Zea mays: one gene and its partners. The main gene of each other region encodes a partner of the protein of the gene in region 3 in a complex. Links are inferred from orthologs where the notes say so. Each region holds a gene or a part of one and is shown on either strand. Other genes may lie near its edges.

Region 1 (3,943 bases), on a different chromosome or scaffold from region 3:
CATTCCCTAGCGGTTGACTCCCCAATTTGAATGTACTCGTCTACCGCATCAGTAGGTAACCCATAACCAAGTATCCGCATTGCCGCACATACTTTTTGTAGGGGCCCGAGTCCTAGCATGCCTGTTGCGTCCACCCGTTGCGTAAAGTAACTATCCTGCTGTTGCAGTCCTTCCATAATGCGGATGAACAACGGCCTACTCATGCCGAACCTATAAAATTTAATAGGTTCATTGTGAATACAATGATAATGTCATAACATATTACAATAATTTGAAGTGCGTACCTTCTACGAAACACGTGGGTGGATACACTGGGTTCGGGCCGAAGTAGTGATGCTGGATGAGATTTTCTCCAGCAAAATGATCCCTGTGAATGATGCGGCGAGGTATACCGGAACATCGTCGGAGATGGCGTTTAGCCTCAATGTTGAGGGTAAGAAGATTGACAAGCAAAAGTGTGTCGTCCTCACTATCACTCGAATCGGAATCATCTTCCCTATGCCAGTGAGACATACCGAACAATGGCTAACTTGCTGGAGTTGTGTTCGTTGTGGCTACATATGCGAAGAGAAAGTATGCATATATATAGGCGAGATCAATGTGGCTTCAGGGGAAAGCTCGTGGCTTTCGTTGGAAGCCAACCGTGGCTTCCTGCGTACGAATGGTCGGTGTCTGCTTCCAACGTAAGCTTGGTTCAATTTTTTACATCGCAATGTTTCTCAATAATTATGACGACGCACAATTGTGAAGTTTTGTATGCAATTTCGAAATAAATTTTAACTCAAATGTTTGTTTTGTATATTATGCATAATTTGTAAAAAAATAAATATATTTTTTTTATAAATTTATAACATCGCAACATGCCGGACGTGTGAAAAGGAAAAAAGGAAAAAGAAAATGAATTTGGTTATGTTAGTTATATGGAAATGTATATTTAATGAGTAGAGGGATATATATATGAGAATTTTTAGGGAGAATAGTTGCGGGATAAGTGAATATAGGAGAGTGAATCTTGCTGACGTGACTATATAGTAACATTTAGGGGAAAAAATTTAAAGGACACTACTGCATACAGTCTAAAGTAGTAGGGGAAATATTTGGGTCCTGACGAGTGGGCACTGGCCACTTAGCTGCGGGGCGATTCTTTTTCAAATTTTTTGGGTGCCAAATATTTGCCCTCCAGTGCTGTCCACGGCTCAGCCTCACACACGCGCGAGAGCAAATTGCAGAGCTGCTCGTCGCCGGCGATCGCCGCAGGGTTCGTCCGAGAGGGGAGAGGCTCTCTGTATCGGGGCATGGTGATCCTGGACCGCACTCCGGCCGCGGCGCAGGGGGCCGCCTGTAGCCCGCTCCCGAAGTCGCCTAGGTTTTCGTGGGAGGTGGCCTCGCCGCCCTCGGACCCCATCCTCCCGTACCTCAGGTAATCTCGAATCTACCTCGAGATATGCCTCTGTTACTTGGATTCATTTAGCGTGTGCGAATCCGTGTGGGAGCTCGCTTAGTGCACGGGTGCGGTGCGTCCGTGCGTGTGCTTGTGCGTGTCTGAAGGTTCCGCCGTTTGATTGAATGTAAAGCATGTGCAATTTGGACGTTTAGTTTAGCTTGCGCGGCTCTACCTCCGCGATTCAGGGTCTGGTTACTCATGCCTACCAGTACCCCTGTGGGATTGAACTGGGATGCACTAGTATATGTTGATTTCTTATTCAAATTCTTGCGAGGCTGCCATGTGTGAGACCTTGATTTCGGTCTTAATTAGGCTGCTTATAGGTCTGATTTTCCTCTTCTAAAAATCCATGTACATAATGGAATGAGCTTAGACATGTGTTTGGGTCAAGGATAACCAAACCGTTTTTGGAGAAAACTGCTACCCACGGGTAATGGGTAAACCGGTGAAAACCGACAAAATCAACCGGTTTGCCCATGTCAAATTTGAACAAATTCAAAATGGTTTTACGGCGAAAAACCGGCGGTAAACCACCCAATGCCGCTGGTAAACCACCCATATGAATCATTTTTTTGTTTTCAGGGAAAAATGGAAAATTTTGGCAGAGTTCATTTGTAATTTGCTCAATTCACGTTGCATAGTAAATACTAACTGACTCACACAACATATGTTCACCAAAATGATATTCAACATACATATGCAACCACAAACTTCAATTCTCATGCAACAAACAACCATCGGATGGCACAATACTCAAATACAATTATACAAGTTCTTTTAGAGTTCTCCCACGAGGCCACGATACATATGTCTACTTGTTTCACAATACTCTTTATTCAGCTCGAGTCATAGTATTCAGGCATGTTGGAAGGATCCTGGTATGGGCCCATTCCGTATACGTAGTCCTATACAATGATATGAGATACATTAGCGATAAAACAAGAACGATAAATAAATACCTATTGTCGAAGCAAAAATAACACACCGATCTGCTTGTAGTTACATATACATGCATCTCGACAACAACATAGAATGGTCGAAACGGGTACCACCCCCTATGTGCGAGATGTCCCTCTTCTTCCCCCTTCGATTTGATGATCTTTTTTATGTGCGAGATGCTCCTTCAAACGTGTACCACCCCCTCCGCTCTTAGTTTCTCTACAATATTTTCTCTTGAAACCCGTGCTAACCTTCTCTCCATGCTCCTAGACAATGTCCGACATGCCTCCTATAAATAAGAAGACATAATATCATGTAACAAGAGTAGAATAAAAACATATAACTTGTAGCAAATGGCATATTAACATAAAACATCGAAACATATTTACTAACAAAAACATAAACCATCTGACAATAACTAAATATTAACATGACACAAGCAAATGAGTTAGGTCTTAGCATAGAACTATGTATTAACACGAACAAATGGACCTACACACTACACATATATTAACAATACTAACATATATATAACTAAATACTAACATATATAACTATATATTAATAGTACTAATATATAACTAGTAGGCTACAATACACCTAACTTTTGATGATGTAAAAAAAATCTAAAACCCTAAACATCACAAAACCAAATCTGGGCACTAAATGATTAAACTAGAACTCAATCATGTCATTAAATCCGGTTTTCCGGTGAAAACAGGCGGTGTCGGGTGTGGTAATTAGGCGTACTCAGATTACACCCCTAAAACACACTTAACCACTAAAAACACCATCAAGGTACGAAGGATCGTAAGCCGCGCTTCGCCCAAGGCCCCCCTCAGGGGTCTCCACAGACTCCGCCTCGCCCGAGCCTGTCCTCGGACGGGGTGTGTTCTCGAGAGAATCCTCGTCCCGGTCGAGGTCCCCTCACCCCAGAACGACAGTCTCCGCCTCGCCCGAGCCCACCTCGGGTAAGGGAGACAAAACCCAGGGCGAGACTCAGCTGAAGTCTGCCGGGGACAACAACATTCAATGCGCATACCTAACCCACATAGGGCTGCAGGTGTGCAGGAGTAACAAGACCACAGTCTAGTCAAAGATTCACCAACTATGATTACGCATGCGACCACTGTTCCTGTACGCCGTCTGCCAACTCCTGACGGGACATACAATACGACAAGGGTACAGGCTAGCCCTCGGGCGTAAACTTCGTTTCGCCCGAAGTAGAACTCGGCCTCGGGATAAACTCGGCTCGCTCGAGCCCGGTCTCGGCTACCTACTCCCCATGAACCCCGCAGGAGGCCACTCCTTCAACTGTGGCACACGTTTTCGAATCTCAGAATGGGCTCAGTCGCGATCTCGGACGGACTACCACCTCGCCCGAGCTCGGCTCTGACCTCGATATCTGCAACGGGAAGGCGCCCAACGTCATCAGACACTGCAGAACTGACACACTACTCGGGATGAAAACGGTTTCGGAATTTTTCGGTATTCTGGAAACCGATTTCGAAATTTTTCGATCGGATTCACCGGTAACAGTATTTTTTCAAAAACGGAATC
Region 2 (4,253 bases), on a different chromosome or scaffold from region 3:
GTATATATGTATATACGTTTTTTAAAATAAAAAATATAATCGTGTCGGGTTGGGCCAATACTATGGGCTGAGGCTACAACTCAAGCACATCACGGCGTTCTTGGCTCTTGTAAGCATTAGGTCGTTTCTGAGACCACATTGGCGCAATGGACTCCATGGTGTTTGAGGTTGCTGAATTGGATGGAGCAACAATGATGTGCCACACTAACAGTAAAATGAAAGGTTATTTGTTGGTTCTAAACGTTAGTAATTGCTACGAAGTAGCATAATTTATATGGAACACATCCAGTTTTTATTGATGCCTGACTTTAGCAACCACTCTATATTTTGATCTATCTTTTTTATAAGTTTGAGTTCATGTGACTTATTTTAGAAACTTGAGCTTACAAACTTTCTCTTATTTGGTCTCTGTATATAGGAATTATGTCATTCTATAATCTATGTTCGTTCAGTCAGTCGTTATGAACTCTCTTATAATCGCTCATTTCATTGGTTGTGTTGTACCAAGACATACTGGATGGAGTAAACAATAACATCAGTTAGCCAAATCAAAAAAACATTATACGGAGAGCAGAGACAAATAATAAAAAATCTTGATATTTTTATGGATTTACGTGGGTATTGTTGTAAGCCGTCGCAACGCACGGGTAACCGACTAGTATTAGTAATAATTGAGTTATATCTATGAATTTTAAGCCTTCTCACGTTGAGCGCAACAAAATATTTAATGAATAATTAGCCAACCTACTTATTCAAAAATAATTACTATTGTATTGTATCATAAGTAGTATTGTGCAAATTAAAGAATGATCCAAATTTTGTGTCGGGTGTGGGTCACCCATGGTTGAAATAGAAACCTGCATAACACTCGTGAAACTTTGAGTCGAGTCTGGGGTGCACTCACGGGTTAAAATTTTTACCTGTACCCGCACCCGTCGGGTTGGGTACGTGTCGAGTTTCGGGTTTGCGGGTTAAATTGCCATCCCTACATAAAAGTGTAGGGGGGAGGAAAGACATGAGTATGCTCACATCCGATCGTTTTGATGGAGCAGAGACATCTCAATTATTTATGATATATTTTTATACGGAGACTATAAGAGTCGCTTTACTCTCTTTCATTAGAAACCAAACATCTACAAAAAATAGAACTGGATTGGTTCCATTCGCATCCACTCTTTTACCAAACACATCCTAATATATGTACTTGGTGGAGTAATTTAGTCCTCGTTTCATGGTTGCTTTTTTTTTTTTTTGCTAAAATTTACGCTTCTCATGGCATACAGCCAGTTGAATTTGTTCCAGCCAAGCAAAACATAGCTGGGCTATTTTGAGTACAAACCGGCCCAAATAAAACATGGGATTAACTAAAAGCCTACGGCCCAAACTTTTCGCAAAGCTTCACCGTTTAAAACCGAAACCTGACCTGCGGGCTGCAGCAGCGTCCGCTCCAAAACGCAACGGTCGAATCTCCTCGAATTCGAATTGCAGCCGGTGCCACCCACCTCACATGGCGGCGGCGGAAGAGATGATGGCGGTGCTGGACAAGGAGACGCTGGCGCTGATGGGTCTGGGCAACGCCGCCGCCGCGGTGGTTGCCGAGTGCGAGAAGTTCAAGGAGAACGCGAGGCCGCTCAAGCGCGGGCGCGACGTGTCCAAACTCAACCACGCGCTCAAGGCACACGCCGATCCCGCCCAGCGCGCCACTCTTCTCGAAGCCCGAAAGTACGTTTCCTTCTCCAGTCTTTCGCCCAGCAATGGGGGAAAAGGAGTTGTGGTTTTGTAACTTTTGTTTGCTCTGGATTTCTTTTTCTTGGGCCTGGGTCTGTGGGGAGGAGACAAGTTGCTGCAGTAATGCAAATATATATCATGTGTGTTCATCGTTCGGTTCATTTGCTTGATCCAGGAAGCTGATTGAGGCAATCTACGAGTACCAAGGCGAGGATCCGCTCCAACCGTGGCTGGAGTAAGTTTTTCTCATAGCCCCTTTAACTCGCCTTTTTCGATTTCTTGGTTCGTGCCAGGACTGGTAGCTGTTCTAGCAGATAGATTGTTCATTTCTTCTCTGATTCGTCCGCGTGCAGCTGCATCAAGTGGGTGCAGGAGTATTTTCCGACCGGCGGCGAGTGCTCAGGGTTGGTGGTGTTGTACGAGCAGTGCGTGCGGACCTTATTGGACGACGAGCGCTACAAGGACGACCTCCGCTTCCTCAAAGTGTGGCTGGAATACGTGAGTGATGCTTTGCCAGCTTGATTGTTTTTCTCTGTAGTTTGTGTCAGTGCAGTGGAGGCACCTCATATATCATTCCGCTGCCGATCTTGTCCTTTTTGCAGGCGGGGAACTGTGCTGATGCTGAGGTAATATACAGGTTCCTGGAGGCCAACCAGATTGGGCAGGGCCATGCGATCTACTACATGTCTTACGCATCGTTGCTGGAGTCAAAGAACAAGTTGAGGAAAGCTAATGAGATCTTTGACCTTGGTATAGCTAGGTGAGATTTTCTTTAGATCAGCACGTTTGTTCATATAAAGCTCCTGAGTTTTAAATTGTTAGGTAGATCATGCTGTTGTACTATATATCCGATCCAAAAATTGTGTCCTATAATGGACATGGAGTACATATATGCTCCTGTGTTTGATTTTCGTACATAACAAGAGTCAATGATGGTACAAAAATGAGGCTGATGTTATACTGAATCAGTTTTCCTTCTTTGTTTTATTTTCATGATCACTTCTAATTTGATACATTCTAACGAATTAGAAATAAAAAGTTCCTTTTAGTTTCTAGTTCGCAAACGTAAAATGAAAAAAAAATCTCAGTCTTCTACTTCCTATTCTTTAAGATTTGACACTCCTTTGACTAGTTATGCCACTATCTTCTTGTAAATGATACAACACTCGGAATTGTTTTACTTATCATGGTTTCTGCTTACCTCTTTTGTTATGGTTAGTTGTGCATTGGTTTTAATACTTGATTAATCCATGTGAATGTATGAAGTTTCTTATATTCGATTTTTTATTGTCAGAAAAGCGAAGCCTCTGGAGAAGTTGGAAGCTGTATACAGGGCATTTCTTCGAAGATCAATCAAAAAGAGGGAACAAGAGGTTTGCTATTCAAATTACAGCAGTGTTTATTTATCTTGAAGCCAATACCTCAGTTGAATGACTTCTTTCTTTTCCTGTAGCAGGATGATACAGTAGATGATGATCTGCCAAAACGCAGTTTCGGGAATAACTTGAAACGAGATGAAAACAGTAAGCTTGTTCAGTTTTACTCTGATTTAGCATGAACTTCGAGTGGCTGCAACCTAATACATATGCAAACATGGCAGGAAATCAGCAAGCAGGGAACTCCCACCTGGGGAGACCAAGGGCACTGCAGAGGTCAGTACCTGTATGATGTGACAGATGTAAAATATCCATCTAAACCTGGAGTTTTTTTTCCTCATCATGTCACTGATTATGCCTTTGCACACTTGCGGAATCGATGCTAACAGGCCGCTTTCAGTTTACAAAGATGAAAGTCCATTACCAAATCAGGGCCTTGACAGAGTGAGGAGCAAAGAAAATAACACAAGTTGGCGCGTCCTCGGAACACGAGCAGAACGGAACAAGGAAAATAACATGATGCCTGCTAAATGGACGTCTCACAAGGTACTTTTGCCATGCCATTTAGGATTCTCTGAAGTGGCCCATGTGAGACTTGCACCGAGGACAACTATTCAGTAACGAACTTGTGGTAACACTGCATTGTTGTTGTACAGATTCCACAGAAGTTAGGAGCAAGAGGAGCGGTTCAATCAACCCGAGCCAGTTGTTCCATTGAAGTCTTCGTCGAGGAAGACTGCACACAGTATGTTATTTAACATGCTAGTGTTACTCTTTTCTTTTTTGAGATTGTTCAAAGTTACTACAAAAACATATATGTCTAAATAGACTCTTTTTTTCCCCTTTGGATTGCTGTAGGGAACCTGCTCGGCCGGTGCCAAAGAGCCCAAATCCTTCTGTTCTGAAGCTCAGGCAAACAACAAGCAAAAGCCTTAAGAAGTAAGTACAGCATAGCTCTTGTAGCTTCGGGTATTTGGGAAACTATTGTCAGCAGTTCCCTAACCTCTGCGGTCTTTTCTTTGGAGCAGGGAGACTGAATTGCTCAAGGAGAACCCGCTGCGCAACTTCCCCCTGAGCAGGCTTAGGTAATCAGCATCTTGCTGGTTCTGAGAAACATCTCGTACGTTATGATTTGGTCGTATGTATGGT
Region 3 (5,559 bases):
TTCCTTTGTACGATTTCTTGCAATGTTTACACTGCCACTCCTTTGTTCCACCAACATTTTTTCCACTCGGAACACCAATAATATTAATTTCATCTAGAAGTGGATGTTTCGTACCAGTAGCCGCAGCTCCATCTTCGTCACCACTGTCTGCGTCTGCACCACCATCTTGGATATCTACAGGCACCTCATGGACGACTTGCACATCATCATCTTCTTTTTCATCCGCACGCTTTCTTTTGCTTGAAGAACCGAAAACCATGTCTACGTTGAGGTTTGAGTTGGGTTGTGGTGCTGTACTGCTGTGCATCAGTGGATGGAGTTCTATTTAAATAGCAGGCAGTACGCGGTCGGCTCCCTGCCTAATCACTTAACGCGCTCCAGACATGGATAATCCCTTCCTCTTCTTACGCGCTCCATGCCTAACCCCTCAGCTTCCTGCGACCTTGGACGGACCGACGGATCTCCTCCACTGCGAGCGCGAATGCGCGACTCCTCCACTGCGAGCGCGAGTGCGCGACTCCTCCACTGCACCGCGACGGCGCGACCTCCTCCACTGCGCGATTTCTCTTCCCCACTGCGCTCTTCCTCTTCCAGTCTTCCCCACTGCGCGATTCCTCTTCCTCTTCCCCACCACGCGATTCCTCTGCGCGATTCCTCTGCCTCTTCTACCCACTGCGCGATTCCTCCGCCTCTTCCGGTGATCCGGTCTTCCCCACTGCGCGGCGGCGACGGCAGCGTCCCAGCGCGGCGGCCGGACAACGCCCGCATCGCCCCAGCGCGGCGGCCAAGCGCGGCGGCCAAGCGCGGCGGCCGGCAACGCCCGCAACGTCCCAGAGCGTCGTCCCAGCGCGACGGCCAAGCGCGGCGGCGCGGCGGCCAAGCACGGCGGGGCGACTTCCTAAGGTAAGCGTTCCTACCTTCTATAAACGGCGTTCCGCGAGCGTTTCTTGTAGTGTTCCCCTTCGTTCCCGTTCCTCGTTTCGGGACGAAATTCCGGGAACGCGGAACGCGCCATCGTTCCCCGTTCCCTGTCACTAAGGGTTGGACCTCATGTTAAAAATCCTACAAAATCTCACTACAATGCTCAATTCCATAGGAATTTTATAGGATTTGTAGCAATTCAATCCTTTGTTCCAAAGGACCACATAGAAAATTTTTCCATAGAGTTTTAATCCTTCAAAATTCCTCCACTTTTTCTTTGTTCCAAAGGAGGCCTTATCTCTGTATTCAAATTCCTGCACACCATCCAAAGGCAGGTGGAAAATTTTCCTGCATTCGCAGTTCCTGTAGGATTGCAATTCATAGCCAACTCTAATCCATTGTTTTTCCTATTCCTGTGTTTTCACATTCCTGTGTTCCAAAGGGGCCCTAAATACAGTTAGTTGAGTGCGCTCGAGTGAGGTCCGGGGAAGGAATAACCGAGGCAAGCCTTACCTCTGCATTTTTGCAGAGAGCCGGTGTCAAACTCAAGACTTTTGGCTCAGTGGGGAGGCATCTCACCACTGCGCCAGGCCTGTCCTTCTGATATATACTATGTGAAAGCTACTAATTTATTCCCTCTGTTCCAAATTATAAGAAGCTTACTTTTTCTAGTCGGGCTGGTCGCCTGTTAACAGCCGATTAGCCGGACGACTCGATTAGGGAGCCTGGTCGTCCCGATCGTCCGATTAGTTGACGATAAGGGCGATTAGTCGTCCGTTTTTCCAGTTTCTGGTCGTTGGTGCTAGGATTTTTGTGTTGGGCTACAGGACCAATGTTTTCGCTCATCTACAAGAACATAAGTTCCGCCTCTCCTCTCCTCTGCTAAAACCCTAAGGCTGCCTAAACCCTGCATGTATCCCTCTGTCGGGCGGCTGCTCCAGAGGTCCAGATCACCGGCGTCTCCACTCTCCAGCACTAGTGATCCCCTCTGCCTGAACTCCCGATCACCGGCAGCTGCTCGCCTGCTCCAGTCACATGTGCCCCTTTGCCTGCTCGCCTGCTCCACAGCTCCAGTTCATAACTCTAGAGTCCAGATCACCGGTGGGCGACGGCTGCTCCAGATCACCAGCGTCTCCAGCACCAGTGACAAGATGAGTTCGTCATCTCAAGGTTCCCCCTGCTCCCTCCCTCCATCTCTGTAGTTCTGTTCTGTCTGTGTCTCCCACCAGTGATCAAACACTAATGGCTGTTGCTGCTCTAATCCTAAGCCGACTGCTGATAGTGACTTGTACCTCTGCCTGTTATTTTGTATATCCTGCTGTTTATACCTATATAAGTATAAATACCAGTCTAAAAGGTCTAGGACGATCAGGGACCGACTAGGACCGACTAGGGGTCGACTAATCGCCCTGGTCGTCGCCTAATCGCGACTAGTCGCCTGGTCGTCCCCAGTGTTCGACCAGGTGACCAGGCGACCAGGCGACTTGAAATCATTGCTAGATACATTGATTTTATAATTTGGAACAGAGGGAGTAACTTGCAACATTTCTCTTGTGTGCCATGCTTCTGCTAGCTTCAAAGTTCTTGTTATATTTGACAGTTAGGTCATGGGGATTACTCTGCTTCAAGCACAAAAGTACTGCGCATGATGAATACTCTTGGAGTCGACAATGAAGCCAAGCAGACAATAGAAGTACTGCAAGCTGAGCTAAAGAAAACAAAAGAGAGGCTGCAAGCAGTTGAAGAACTGAAAGGACAAACTGGTACGAGCTACATTATTTGTAATTTTTATGATCCTGTGGATTTCTATTTTAATTTATTTTCATATGTAAAAACTTGTTTACTGCTTCTGCTTACTGTAGTCTACATTGTATTTGCTAAGGGGTTTGTGTTTGGAGTATCTGCTTAATATAACAAAAGTTACAAGATAACCCTTAGTGACAAGGTTCCCGGAACGTTGGGAACGAGGAACGGGAACGAGGAACGCGGTACGTCTGTTAAAGCAACATGGAACGTTGAGGGGTATACAGCTGATCCACGTTCATTCGATGCGTGGAACGTGTTCCCAACGATTTAGGAACGCAGTTAGGGAACGATTGTAATGGAACATGGAACGATGCATAATTGAAACAACCAATGACACGTACATAATATATAATATATGTATATATAATTGATAATGATGGGATCCCGATAATGATAAGTCATAGTGTCTTAGCTTATTTATATATATATATATATATATATATATATATATATATATATATATATATATATATAACGGTAACGATAATCACTTTCTTGCAAAGCTTAGATAGAAGAGTCTTCTGGATCAATGTCCCATTTAGCATGTGCGCCATGTTTGTAGCCATCTGTTGATCTTGACAAAAGTCGCAAATTGGAGTGAATGAAGACTAATTTATCTGCAGTGGTAGTGTTCATCCTATTGCGCTTGGTGTTATGGATATGGCTGAATGTGCTCCAAATTCTCTCGGCCGATGAACTGCTGATGGGTTGAGATAAAACTTTTTTTGCAACCTCAGCTAAATCTGGAGTCTCAGAACCATAACTTACCCACCATTCAATCGGCTCCATGGTAAATGCATCCAATTGAACGGGTGGCAGCGCAAACATTCCCTTCTTCATAATAAAAGCATTAAATTGCTCCCTCAAAACTTGTTGTTCCCTTGGAGAATCTGCAATTTTACTAAAAGCTTCAAGCACATTAGTCATAACCTCCTTATCTGTATTAGGAGCTTGCCTTATGGTGCCACCAGGAGCTGGGGTGTTGAGGTATTGTTGATGATAAAATTTTGGGCATAAGGCATATGCTAAGCAATGAAGGGGAAGATTCATCTTCTCCCAACGGCGCATAACGATACTTTCAACCTCAACAAAATCATCTTTATGCGGGTTATCATCTTTTGTCATTATATCTTTTATTTCACCAACCATGCAATCCATTCTCTCGTAGATTTCTCCCATCTTTGGACCTTCTCCATCACTAAACCTTAATACGGAGTATATTGGCTCTGTGATAGCAATTATATTTTCAGCCTCCATCCAAAAGCTGTCATCATTTATTGTTAGGACAATGACCCTTGCTTGGTGCTTCACATCATTAGTGCAAGTATTTACCCAATCTTTCCACTGCCTTGTGACTACTGTGGTGGCAAGTGCTTCTCTACATGTTATGAGTCTTTGAAGCAATATGTAATGTGAAGCAAATCGAGTTTTTTTCACCTTAAGTAGGTCCAAACGAGAGTTGGTTCTAAACATTGCCAAACAATGGCAATGATTCTGAAAAAACTTGACAATTGCTTTTCCAGTCTTATATGTGTCAAGCATCCATGGAAATTTCACAGCAAAATCCTTGAATATAAGGTTTAGCGTGTGAACAACGCATGGGGCCCAAAAAATGTGCTTATGCACCTGTAATCAAACAAAATATGATTAGGGAAAATCCAAGATAAAAAACACTTGAAGGACAAAATATGTGACTTACTTTTTCAATTTCTTTTCCAGCTGCTTTGCAATTAGCAGCATTGTCCGTTACCACTTGAAGGACATTTCCTGGTCCAATTTCATCAATAGCCTTCAAGAGATATTGTGCAATAGCTTCACCGGTTTTTTCAACTCCAGAGAAATCTTCTGCATATAAGAAACATGAACCTCGACTGTTCGACGCAATCACATTGATTAGGGGCTTGTTTTTTATATCTGTCCATCCATCGGACACAACCGAAACACCTTGTGTCAACCTAATGCATGATTAAAAGTGAGTTTTTGGAGAAAAAATCATACAATGAAAAGACAATAAAATTAAGAACTTACCATGTACTTTTAAGTGGTGCTAAGTCGGTCTCCACACTTCTCTTGCATGCATCTAGGAGAGTTGTCCTTGCCTTTTCACTCGACGGACCTTTATAATCTTTTGGACCATTTTTTATTGCCATTATCATTTGTGAAAATTGAGGGCTCCTCAACACATTGAATGGAATACCGTTGGCACATAAAAATTTGGTAATTTCCATATCGACAGACTCCCTTTGGGCTACTCCAAACGATTTTGTCAACGGATTCGGAGTGGTCGTCCCTGATGTTGATCTCATATGAAATCCTTTACTATCAGCTTCTTTCACCTTTTCCCGCAAAGCTTTGCTCTTGTTGGGATCGTTTTGCAATGACATACAACGTGCAATTTGTGCTTTTTTACCAGGTAATGGACCAAGCAAATGAACACGAACTCTAGTTAAACTTCCTTTGTACGATTTCTTGCAATGTTTACACTGCCACTCCTTTGTTCCACCAACATTTTTTCCACTCGGAACACCAATAATATTAATTTCATCTAGAAGTGGATGTTTCGTACCAGTAGCCGCAGCTCCATCTTCGTCACCACTGTCTGCGTCTGCACCACCATCTTGGATATCTACAGGCACCTCATGGACGACTTGCACATCATCATCTTCTTTTTCATCCGCACGCTTTCTTTTGCTTGAAGAACCGAAAACCATGTCTACGTTGAGGTTTGAGTTGGGTTGTGGTGCTGTACTGCTGTGCATCAGTGGATGGAGTTCTATTTAAATAGCAGGCAGTACGCGGTCGGCTCCCTGCCTAATCACTTAACGCGCTCCA

What was found. The genes of interacting proteins can lie anywhere in the genome.
Region 1: Mitotic spindle checkpoint protein MAD1 (region 3) and uncharacterized protein LOC100194273 share a complex: the UniProt entries of both Arabidopsis thaliana proteins name them as parts of the mitotic checkpoint complex. The link is inferred for Zea mays from reciprocal best matches to the Arabidopsis thaliana genes MAD1 and AT2G20635.
Region 2: Mitotic spindle checkpoint protein MAD1 (region 3) and Mitotic spindle checkpoint protein BUBR1 share a complex: the UniProt entries of both Arabidopsis thaliana proteins name them as parts of the mitotic checkpoint complex. The link is inferred for Zea mays from reciprocal best matches to the Arabidopsis thaliana genes MAD1 and BUBR1.

Annotation. Positions count from the first base shown.
Region 1 is NC_050102.1:160,976,201-160,980,143, forward strand, and holds the start of uncharacterized protein LOC100194273, read left to right. Parts: upstream 1-1,143; 5' UTR 1,144-1,295; coding exon 1,296-1,420; intron 1,421-3,943. UniProt on the Arabidopsis thaliana protein: Serine/threonine-protein kinase that performs 2 crucial functions during mitosis: it is essential for spindle-assembly checkpoint signaling and for correct chromosome alignment. Has a key role in the assembly of checkpoint proteins at the kinetochore.
Region 2 is NC_050100.1:126,593,402-126,597,654, reverse strand, and holds the start of Mitotic spindle checkpoint protein BUBR1, read left to right. Parts: upstream 1-1,453; 5' UTR 1,454-1,507; coding exon 1,508-1,722; intron 1,723-1,903; coding exon 1,904-1,963; intron 1,964-2,081; coding exon 2,082-2,226; intron 2,227-2,330; coding exon 2,331-2,488; intron 2,489-3,022; coding exon 3,023-3,101; intron 3,102-3,181; coding exon of another isoform or gene 3,182-3,184; coding exon 3,185-3,251; intron 3,252-3,328; coding exon 3,329-3,380; intron 3,381-3,493; coding exon 3,494-3,650; intron 3,651-3,760; coding exon 3,761-3,849; intron 3,850-3,962; coding exon 3,963-4,043; intron 4,044-4,132; coding exon 4,133-4,193; 3' UTR 4,194-4,253. UniProt on the Arabidopsis thaliana protein: Essential component of the mitotic checkpoint. Required for normal mitosis progression. The mitotic checkpoint delays anaphase until all chromosomes are properly attached to the mitotic spindle.
Region 3 is NC_050098.1:177,131,381-177,136,939, reverse strand, and holds part of Mitotic spindle checkpoint protein MAD1, read left to right. Parts: intron 1-2,521; coding exon 2,522-2,684; intron 2,685-3,187; exon of another isoform or gene 3,188-3,231; coding exon of another isoform or gene 3,232-4,353; intron 4,354-4,426; coding exon of another isoform or gene 4,427-4,682; intron 4,683-4,755; coding exon of another isoform or gene 4,756-5,486; exon of another isoform or gene 5,487-5,559. Other genes in the region: uncharacterized protein, read right to left, coding at 3,232-4,353, 4,427-4,682, 4,756-5,486. UniProt on the Arabidopsis thaliana protein: Required for the execution of the mitotic checkpoint which monitors the process of kinetochore-spindle attachment and delays the onset of anaphase when this process is not complete.